Drosophila melanogaster: one gene and its partners. The protein of the gene in region 1 interacts with the protein of each later gene in a pairwise test. Each region holds a gene or a part of one and is shown in the gene's direction. Other genes may lie near its edges. The genes, in order: CG3740, mRpL32 and CG5687.

What was found.
Region 2: the proteins of CG3740 (region 1) and mRpL32 interact in a two-hybrid assay, tested with the Drosophila melanogaster proteins (one large-scale study listed by BioGRID).
Region 3: the proteins of CG3740 (region 1) and CG5687 interact in a two-hybrid assay, tested with the Drosophila melanogaster proteins (one large-scale study listed by BioGRID).

The regions. Positions count from the first base shown.
Region 1 is NC_004354.4:1,667,906-1,671,452, reverse strand, and holds CG3740 (uncharacterized protein), read left to right. Parts: upstream 1-2,155; 5' UTR 2,156-2,443; coding exon 2,444-2,645; intron 2,646-2,664; exon of another isoform or gene 2,665-2,708; coding exon 2,709-2,929; 3' UTR 2,930-3,047; downstream 3,048-3,547. Other genes in the region: hfw (halfway), read right to left, coding at 1-637, 1,516-1,533; dor (deep orange), read right to left, coding at 3,083-3,547.
Region 2 is NT_033777.3:31,250,866-31,254,335, forward strand, and holds mRpL32 (mitochondrial ribosomal protein L32), read left to right. Parts: upstream 1-2,006; 5' UTR 2,007-2,053; coding exon 2,054-2,138; intron 2,139-2,193; coding exon 2,194-2,433; intron 2,434-2,489; coding exon 2,490-2,752; 3' UTR 2,753-2,793; downstream 2,794-3,470. Other genes in the region: qless, read right to left, coding at 817-1,029; CG1750 (uncharacterized protein), read right to left, coding at 2,794-3,158, 3,214-3,376, 3,434-3,470. UniProt on the Drosophila melanogaster protein: Component of the mitochondrial large ribosomal subunit (mt-LSU). The mitochondrial ribosome (mitoribosome) is a large ribonucleoprotein complex responsible for the synthesis of proteins inside mitochondria.
Region 3 is NT_037436.4:1,937,324-1,941,078, reverse strand, and holds the start of CG5687 (uncharacterized protein), read left to right. Parts: upstream 1-1,975; 5' UTR 1,976-2,485; coding exon of another isoform or gene 2,486-2,581; 5' UTR 2,582-2,638; intron 2,639-3,755. Other genes in the region: CG46523 (uncharacterized protein), read left to right, coding at 2,486-2,581.

The DNA.
Region 1 (3,547 bases):
CGTGCAGGTTGGTCCACTTGGATATGTTGCTGCAGCTTGAGATCATCGTCAGCTGCGATATGTTGCAGCAGTACCAGGAGTTTGGCCGCGTCGGGTGCTCCCTGCACTGGCACTGGCTGTTCCCCTGTCCTCCTCGGTTCTGGGCTTCCGACTGCGCGACTGTCGAGCCCTGGCCCTCGGAGGTTTCGGCTCGTCCGTCAAAGGTGTGGCCACACAGCTGCTCTTCTGCATAGAAGCAGTGCTTCAGATACTCGGGCTGTTCGGGAGCAGCCGGCGGAAGGGGTGCGGGCGAAGTGGTCGACGTGGTCGAGGTGGAGTGCGATGTGCTTGTGGATGTTGTGTCTGTCACAGATCCCGGATCGGACATGCTTTGCGTCTCGGCCAAACTTGATGCCGTCGTGGTTTCCCCAATGCCCACGTTATCAGTTGTTAGGATGGGAGCAGGTATTGCTGTTCCCTGCTCATCTTCCTTCAGCGGCGCATGGGGATGGGCATGGTGATGATGGCGAGCCTGTGGATGTGCGTGTGCATGTGGAGTAGACTCCTCGCCTAGTGCAGCCGGATCCGGTGTGTGTGCTATTTCTGGCCGCGCGCATGCGCCTGCTACAAGGAGCAGCAGGAGCAGGAGCCATGTGCCCTGCAACGACAACGACAATCAAAGGGCGCGTTAAAGCGAATCGAGTGGGGAAATGGGAAAAACGCCGTGTCGCACGTTGGACATACATATGCAAATATTTGCTACACCAGACGCGTTTGTTTGCAAATCGAATTAGACCGACGAGGGCTTGGCCTGGCTCGTCCTCCAATTGCCGTAATTAGGGTAAGTGAGGCACACCCTGTACGCATAAGTTGCTGGGCCTGCGGCTCTGGGAGTCGGGAGGGTCTTCGGTATCCAACTGGTTTCTAATTGTTTGCCCACTCGATTTAGCGTCTTGCGGGCCAACTGCCAACAACACTGCCATGCTAATTCGGCAATTAATTAACGAATCGTATGTGATAAAAGGGCAATAAAAAGATTAATTGTGTTAGGCAGCAATTGTGGGCGGGTCGGTGTCGGTTGGTGGCAAATTGTCGGCTTCGGCATGGAGTGGAAGTGGAAGGGGGCTATTTCCAGATCTTTGGCTGGTCAAAACAGCATAACAGTTTGGTATTACCATAGGCCAATAATAGGTTTGGTATGGAAAACATTTCCTTTTTGGCTTAAATGTTCCATAGCGTGTGAGGATACGAGGATTAACTAAAGATGGCCTCTGATTTCAAGGCAAATGCGCTTCTTTTCACAACTACAATATGAGAAATACCTATGCTGTATGAGTATAATAACTGGGTGTGGTATAAAATATAGAGCCATGGGTAGTATAACCTCACTAGCAGCACCCCTCCCTCGGAGCAATTTAGAGTGCTTTCGAGATTATAAACACAATATCAGTATCGGCATGCCCATGTCCATACCCCTACCCCTCCTGCTACAGGTACACCCATACACTAGCAGAGCTGCATGCGCATTGGACTTACGTGGGTGTACGCGAGCATGTCGCCTCCGAAATGAATTCCACTAGGTGCTCCCTGGCAGGTTTACTCCTCGACTAGGTGGCGCGGGAACGGAGCGGTCATCCACATCCGAGGAATCGCAATCATACGGAAGTGTTCACAATTTAAATGCTTTGCGCACATCCCAGTCCCAGCGGAGAGGAGCTACTTTCTGGGCGGTTCTGCAGGCTCGTTCGGTCCGCCAGGTGATCTGCCACAGATCCGTGCATGGGAAGAATCGGTCGGGTGTGATACGTAGGTGAAACACAAAAGTATCTCGACTCGAATTGATAAACTACGAACAAAACAAAATGCAAATGTTAAGTGCGCGCAGCGCAGCAGAGCACTCGCTGTTAAGTCTGATGTTAAATGCTCTGTTCGCCGCGGGCAATCGACTTATCGATACAGTGACATCGTTTGCACTGCGATTCGATAGTTGGCAAACGTAATCCGTTGAATCAATTTATATAATAAACACATATATATTTAATTTATTGTTCATCTTTAACTTAGCAACAGGACAGTAATAACCTATAGGATTAATATAAGAAATTTAATGTATGACCCATAACAGGAATGGGTTAACACATAAGGGTTAAGGCCATATATCGATATAAACGTCGATTGTGACCGCCGTTTGCGCATCTCTGAATCTGGCGCTCACAAGTTTAATCAAGTTGCTGTTTTTTAAGTCAAATATAAGCTTTTTAATAGTTCCCTTCAAGCGGATTCCGTGAAATTGTTTATGTTGTCGAGTAGCAAGTTGGAGAATTCAAGACCAACACTAAAAGGCAGGATACAAACGGAACGGGTGGCGTAATCGGAAACGTCATACTGCCGCACGGAACAAAGTCTAAACAGGAAATACTAGCATAGCGTTGCGAAATTCGGGCCAACTCCACGTAGCCTAAATATGCCCATAGATACGCGCGAGTTGATGGAGGCGATAGCCATCGTAGCGGACGAGCGCAACGTCCGCGTCGCCGTCAAGCAGTCCGGCAAGGGAGCGGCAATCTGCGCCGCCTGCTCCTTTGCGGGTGGCATGCTCCTGGGCCCCGTTGGGCTGGCGGTTGGCGGGGCCGCCGGCGGAATCGCCGCCTACAAGATGACAAGCGGTAAGCGGAGGAGAACTCCCGTACTCAGTCTCACTACATTTCCACTTCCCTCCTCCCGAACAGGCACATTCCGTCCGCTGGGCGAAGTCATCCTAAACGACCTGACGGACGCACAGCGAGAGCAGCTGGTGCAGCACGTAACCATGGCCGTGGCCGACATACATCCCACCGACGTGGTGATGCTGCTGCCGCTGATTGTCCAGAACGCCTCCATTCAGCAGGCTGTGCTTAACACTGTCATGTCATTCGTGACCAACGAGTTGCGCATGCAGATTGTGGACTGACCTGCTCTGCGGGCAAGTGGGCGATGGCCAGGTAACTGTAGAATTTGGACGGCTATCTCAGTCGAAACCTTTGTGATCAGTGTAGGTTTATTTATAATAATAAATACTTTATATGTACATAAATATTTGGGTCTGAACGACGGTGGTAGCGAACTACTCCCACTCGACATTCACCTGCTCCCAGTCGTCAACGAACGGCTGGTCGATGGTGCTGATTAGCAGCCCGCAGAATAGGCAATCCGCAGCAAGAATATCCTCGATCTCGGTTTTCAGTGCCGCCCTCTTCCGCTGCAGCTCCATCGCCTGCTGTTTGCTCAGGGCACCTGACTGCGGTTGCGCCTGCGTTTGCACCTCCGCCTCCAGTTGCTGCTTTAGAGTGCCGAGGCGCCGACATTGCTCCTTGGTGAGCAAGGGCACAACGTGCTTCTCCAGGCAATCGCTGTGGAACTTGTGGCCGCAGATGAAGATGAAAAAGGGCTTAACCAGCAGCATCATCTCGCAAATTTCGCAAGTATCCTGAGACTCAACGGTGAGGCTGTGCTGGCGCAATTGCTGCAACTCGGCGGTGACGCGATCGGTTTGCTCCGTAGTCTCGGCCATTTCACGCTGCAGCTCCTG
Region 2 (3,470 bases), on another chromosome or scaffold:
GCCACAAATAGCGCGAAAATCAACAACGCGGGCGATAAATATTGATAAATACGAGCAATAAACCAGAGCTCAAATGCAACCAGCGAAATTGCATAACTCAAAGAAAAAATGAAAAAGGAAGAAAAACACTGCAGGCTAGCGACTTGTCAACGATATAAAAATAATGACAAACTACAGACAGACCAGAAAGAGACATAATTATCGGGCCAGAAAGAGAGGCAGATGAAAAACTTCACCTTGCAAAAATGCGGGGAAAAACACATGGAAACGTTGCGGAGAAAAACAGAGGCGTTCGGCAAATGGTAAAAAAGCCAAGGCACAATAATAAATAAATGCGCCAGCTTCCGCCAACAACAACACTGCAACTGTGGGCGCAACAAGTTGTTTTTCACGCTACTTGCACAAAAGCAATGGCCAACAACCAACAACCAACAAGCAACGGACAACTGCCAGCAACCAATTTCACTTTCATTTTCTTTTTGGCTTTGCAGCGAAGAAAAGAAAAGCGGACAGCAAAAGCCAAAGTCACGCAGACGCATTAGCGGCCAAAAGAGTTGGCTTGCAGCCAATGCACTCTGCACGGCAAAAAAAAAAAACTAATACATTTTCAATCCAATTTTATAAGGATTTATTTCACATTTGCAAATTTTAAAAGGAATCACTTAAATTGTACTGCTTATAAAAAGTATCTTTTCCTTTTCAAGTTTACCAGAAATGAAATCCTCATATTTTCCATATTTTTCTAACTTCAACTATTTTTACCATTTAACACAACACTTTTCTCGCTGTGTAGGCTTCGCCCGACAGTGAACTTACCAGCAGATCGGGGTAATCCTTGCCCATGCTGAAGCTTAATCCGTGGTAGAGTCGCATGGCCTGCTGTTGAACTTTGGGCGGACTGAATAATCCGGTTGCGGCGGACGGGGCTGTATATCCTGGCCGGGATCCGAAGAGCTGATAGAGCAGCTTGTGCGCCTGCTGGCGACGCGAGCCGCACACGACGCGACCGGAAGTGCTCAAGCAGGCCATTTTGTGGGTTTTGTTTGTGAGGATTTGTAAGTAGCAGGGCTTATGCGATGGTTTTTTTTTTTGTGGGAAGGGTAGGATGCAGCTTCTTGATCGAGACACAGGCACAGAATTCAACAGGTGAACAGCATTATAGTGGGTTTTGTTTATGTTTTTTGCAGGCTCGCAGGATTTGAAAAACGCGCGATTGTGTGGCGAGTTCGGGGTATCGATGGACTAACGATTTCGAGGCGACGGCGAAGCGCGGTTTGCTTGCGTTTGGCTTCAGCAGCTCCAGCGAAGTGTTTTCGCTTTTTGTGGATTTTTGAATCGATGCGCGTGCGCGCGGTCAGGTGTGGTGGGAATCCCACTGGCCGACTGTGGTGGAAACGATCGCTCACGAAGGTAAGATCGGCTTGAACTTGAACGGGGATTTCGGTGGCTAAGGCAGCCACGCGGTTTTACAGTCACTGGGGGTCGAGGTCTGTTTGGATGACCCCAGGCTACCTATGGGTCACACTATTGGAGGGATATATCTGGACTCAAGCGTTGCTCACAGAGGTCCTATGGCCACTACCGCCACTACCAATTAGTCCCGCCAGTGTCCTCATGTTCCGCAACAACTGGGACGCTCAAAGATCCCGATGAAAACGCGTTTTTCCGCCTGGCAAATAGTTTTTATTTAACTCGCACGCAATTTGCACCTTTTCACTACTTTATTTTGACGTAACAGTGCAGAACAGCTGCTGCGAACAGCTGTTTAGGGTTGCAACGTGCGCGGTGACGCAAGGCAGCCGGCTAAAACGTAGCACTAGAAGTGTGCAACGTAAGGCGACAAAGTCTGCAACCTTAAAACGGTAGTTATTTACGGATGCTGACATTATTTTAAAAGTAGTTACACCATTTTTATTGCTCTTTTTTGAATTAACATTTTTACATCTATTTTGTGCCTTACTTACGTTTTTCTATAAACATATCGATAGCACAGCTGTTTCCTCTTGCGCATCTCTAATCACGTTTACGTAAATTTCAGAAGAGCAGCAACAAGATGTCTAGAAATTTGTTTTTATCAATTACAAACTTTATTAGGAACTTAGAGAGCTTGTTCCTGCCACATGGAGGACACCCTCCTGGTGAGAAGCACCAGCCCAAGATAAAGTTACCCTGACTTACCCACTTTTTACACAGCTTTAGCGTTGGCCGGTTTTCAGCATGATCACAGCCCTAAATCCTCCCAGGAATTCAGTTTGAAGCAGCTTATTGGCGACGGATTGCTGTGGGCTGTTCCGAAGCACAGAAGATCCGTGGAGAAACGCCTGAAGCGGAAGTTCGGATATCCGGAATACAACTGGAAGCCTTTGAGGGAGAAGAGAAACCTCCGCTCCTGTCTGCAATGTGGCCATGACCACGAGATGGGAGTTCTTTGTCGTAAGTAGCCTTAAAAGTATACAAAGAGGTAGCCACCTTTAATGTTGCTCTTCCAGCCTTCTGCTACCAAAAGGTCCTGAAGGAGACTGAGCTCATGCAGTCGAAAATCCAGGAGACACTCGGTCTAGATCCCGTGGACAAGGAAGTAATCGTTCTTTATGAAGGCGAGAAGGCCGAACAGTCCACAGATGATCTGAAAAACAAGCGCATCGTGGAGATGAAGAAGCCTCGTCCCATGTGGTTCACCAAGAATCTGCTCCAAAAATCCACGCAGCAGCTGTCCGAAACCAAGGAAGTCAAGCCCTCCGACTTGGCCTAGATACTAAGCATCCATTGTGCATTAAATCCACACGTTCGTTATCAAATCGATGCTATTTTATTCTCTGTGAAGGATAAGGACCTTGCTTGCTTCAGGAATCCGTTGTTAAAGTCCTGGGCACTCATAGGTTTTCTACCTTCCACGCGTAACTGAAGCACTTCCAACTGACTCTGCTGAGCACATCCGATTATGAGGGATCTCGACTTCCTTAGGTAGCTGATGGCACCAGGTTCTTGGACGGGAACTCTCTTCTCCGGTAATCGCAACTCCAGCAACTGCACTTGCTTGCCCAAAAAGTTGGTTGTAAGGTTTTTGTAGCCATACAAAGCTCGATGACGAGTGTATATTTCAATGGCACTCAGCTCGGACCAGATAATTTCTGTGATTTTACTGGTAATCTTGGGAGCTGAAGGCAAAAATATAGTTTATATAGGTTCTCGAAGTGCTTAGATATGCTTTACCATAGCTGACCCTTGAACTATCTTGGGGTTTGGCTTCCTTAAGTCTTACTGATAGGTTGTTAATAGTATCCACAAGTAACTCGGCTCCTAGCGACGCCAAAGATGCATGCAGATCCGGCATGAAGACATCGGGATTAATAGCCACTTCTCGCTGAGCTAAAATCTAAAGCATAAGTCGTCAATACTACTGCATACAATGGTAAGATAAGAATGAACTTACATCACCGATATCGAACCGGTGAGGTTCGATTTTCATG
Region 3 (3,755 bases), on another chromosome or scaffold:
CAAAAGTATCTGAAAATAATCGATACTTTGCTTACAAATATTATCGATGCCTATGCAGCTCAGCAAAACCAGAGTGGCAACGCTATCGAACAAGGCCCGCAATTTGAAATATTAAGAAAGTTTTACTACATATATATGGTGAATATTGAATTGCAATGACGGAAGTGCGATGACTTCGCAAAGCCAGAATTAAGGCCAGCAACTAATTGAGACATTCGATAATTGAAAATATTAATACACAGAAAGAAATGGAGCAATTTATTGTTAGACAACTATATATTGGAAAAAACTATTGAAAGTAAGAAATTCATTTTCATTTAAGCTTTTTTGGATTGCAAAAAATTTAAACATATATATTGGGTTCCTTGGTGAAAAGGAAAATGTTCTTTTCTGTGCTGTTTTTATAAACAAGTGTTTTAGCAATGTCAACGCCCACTCTCATTAGTAAATTAATTGACTACTACGCTTTCTCCAATTCCCATACGATGGATAGAGGGAGGACGGAGGAGGGGTGCTTGATCTTGTGTAATGCCGGAATCGAATCCAAAATTCTTTTTATTGGTATTGCGTATTTTCAGTTTCGACAGCACGCAGCCAGCACGTGTGAAGATTGTCTTGTAATGTTTGAAAAACCGTTCGGATCTGATGTGATGTGATTTGATACCCACCCAACCGGACCAAAGTCCGAAAGAACCACTTGGCGGACGAGGGGCTCGACCAGTTTTGTGACGTCTTCGGCCACTTGCATCCGAGGAACAGAGTTAGCTGGATTTGCTTTGGATATGGATGGGGATGGGGATTTGGAATGGAATGGAATTGGAATGGCATGGGATGGGATCGTTTCGGGCCTAAACACCGAGACGCATTTGCCGAACTGCTTTTAACTGCTTTTCGTCGGCTGAGGTAGTTGAATGGCCAAGATTTACATGAGACTGTTAGTTAACGACATGGCGGGCATATTTAATTAATGCAACACGCTTCATGCTTAAGTGCATATCTGCCTAGCTAACTCACTGACCTTTAGAAAAATGGGCGTCGATTTGGTGACTTTCCGCTTGGGGGGAAGTACCTGCTGAATATTTGGAGACCCCCTTTCTTTTTGCCACTACATACTAGATATGTACATACATTTTACATTTATCAATTTATTGCGATTTGAACTCTTTTTGAACTGACCGGCGCCGTTTCAGTTCAAATTTAAATTCAAACTGGGAATACATTTCAATTAGAATTAAACACCCACACTGGCGCACAGGAATTGTAAACAAATAATTTTCTATTAGCGGGAGAAAGAGTGTCATTCCTGATCAAAATCGTACCAGATCGAACTCGTTATCGTTATCCAAGTAAAACACCACATAGCCAGCAATTGAGGCGAGGCGACAAGTGTACAAAAAACGAAAGATATAATCGTTTCCATTATTAATTGGCGCACTTTTTGCCTTTGTGACTCGAGTTACTTAAAAAGTAATAAAGGGTGAGACAAATGGAAATATTTACACATCACGCAATCCCAAACTGGCCAAGAACCAGCAATTAAACTTTTATGTTTGTTTACAGCGCATTTCACTTGGCTCAACTTGCCACAATTAACAATCGCCATCGAGGGATATGCAAAGGAGTTGGAAAATACCGGATATTTTCCGGCCATTCGTGGAGCGTCTTCTGCAGAATTGAAAATGAATCTTCGCATATGAATCAGAGCGTTTCAATTCCCTGAAATTAATTGATAGCAATTTAGGAAACGGTTTGGCAAACATTTATACACGATTTTCAATTAAACGTTTCCTCAAGCTTATTTTACTTATACCCATCATATTTTTATATACATTTACTTAATACCTACATACCTACCTGATTATAAGTTTCCTATCATTTTCTCAATCTACTAACCTTTTAATTTAAAGTTATATAATATTACATTAATAAACATTTAATATTTAATATCTGTTTCATTTATAGTATGAACCATAATGTCTTTGGTTTTATTTTTTAAAATAGGCTTAGTGCCCAGAGTCTGTTGAAAATAAGTTGCCTATATCTTAGCACTCCACACGACCATTGGCTGGCGATCGAGTTTCCCTCTCCGTGGAGATCGGCGATATCATATCCGGCGACGCTTCGCCTGCTCTTAGATCGATTTTCTCTCTTCTTCGCTTTTCAGACCCCAAAGAGATCTCGATGTGGTGGGGTTCCCGAAGCTGAAGCTGGGAGCCCGAGATCTGAGATCCGAGGCCTGAGATCCGAGATCTGTGATTTGCCTGCGCCGCCTTGGGTGTTGTATAAAATAGCGTAACGGCCGCTTGCAAAACTCATTCATTTAAAAATTGTCAATACGTTCGAACAGCGATCGACGACGAGCTGGGAAAAAAGGGAAACAACTAGTGCTCGAAGTGAAAAAAAAACTACGGCAAGGACTCGGCTCGAGGAACCAAATCCAAACAGTGATCAGTTTCATTTTGTGACTAACTAAGAAAACACGTTAATGAAATACAGAAACAATCGTGGCACAATATTGCAAATCCAGTTCAGAACATTTCTAAGATACAGTGCAGCAAACCTAATTCCATTTGAGAGCTAAACGAAGACGACAACCGAAGGATATCGAATTTGACGAATTGAAAAATTACTAACCAAGGTGAGAAGTTGTTCAGTTTTTCAGTGAAAGCGGCAATGCATGCCAGTGAGTTATTTCGAAATTTATCATACCGATTGTCACTGATAATTGGTAGTTGCAAAATATCTCAGAACATCAGAATAGTAAAAAGCATTAGCCCAAAGGAAATTTATTCCAATTACTCATGACTAACTAAAACTAGAGTAAAAAGTTGCGAGGGCAAAAACAATTTGTAAAATGCATTTGTCGAACAAGCTAATAAAGCTGAAAGTATTTATACCCATTCCGAAGGCATTTTAATATTTTGTCGCTTGTGTTACTTCACTCTGTTTTTTAGCTGGCTAATCTCGCCAGTTTTGAACTAGGTAATGTTTGCAGCTGTCGTGGCCGTGGAAAATCTCCTTGCTTGCGATTGGTATCTTCTGCCAACTTGTCAAGCGGACTATTTTGTTTAAATTAATTATAATAGAATAGAAGCGAGTTCGCCCAGACGAGATAAAAAAAAAGCCGAGGAAAGCAAAACAAAACACGCATATTAATTGGGCTCGAAGACGATGATGATGCCATTTAATGGAAGCGAAGGGCCTTTGGAATGGGCTGGGCGAAAGTCCACCAATTAAGCCAGACGCCTGTCCTCAACCAGAGCCCACAATTCATTTGACCCGTGTGTTCCTCCACCAAGGAAAACGGGTTTCACCCCAAACACAAATAGCCAACAAACAAATGAGCAATAAATATGATTTCGTAGTTTAGATTACTCAAATCAGAAGTTTGTAAACTTGAATAAAATATTCTACGATGAGCTAGAAACTAGAAGGAGCCTAGACCATTCCTTACTGGTATTTTCTCTCTGTGCATCTGGACATCTCTCTTGTGGTCGGGCCTTTTGCTCTTAGTTTCCGGCCTTGCCTTCGGAGACTTGGAAGCTGCTCTTCGAAGATTCGCCGAGCGATGGCGAATTTCTGGCCCAAACCGGCGCAATCCGGCTCAGTCCAATGGCCACCGATCTAAACCAGTTGAATTCGCTTAAATCTCGATTGGCGCGCTCGCACTCCCCATTTTCGCTCAAACATTGTAGCCCAATCTATTCGCCATTCAGGCCATATGGTGCATACATGTCCATGTCGCACAGGAGCAG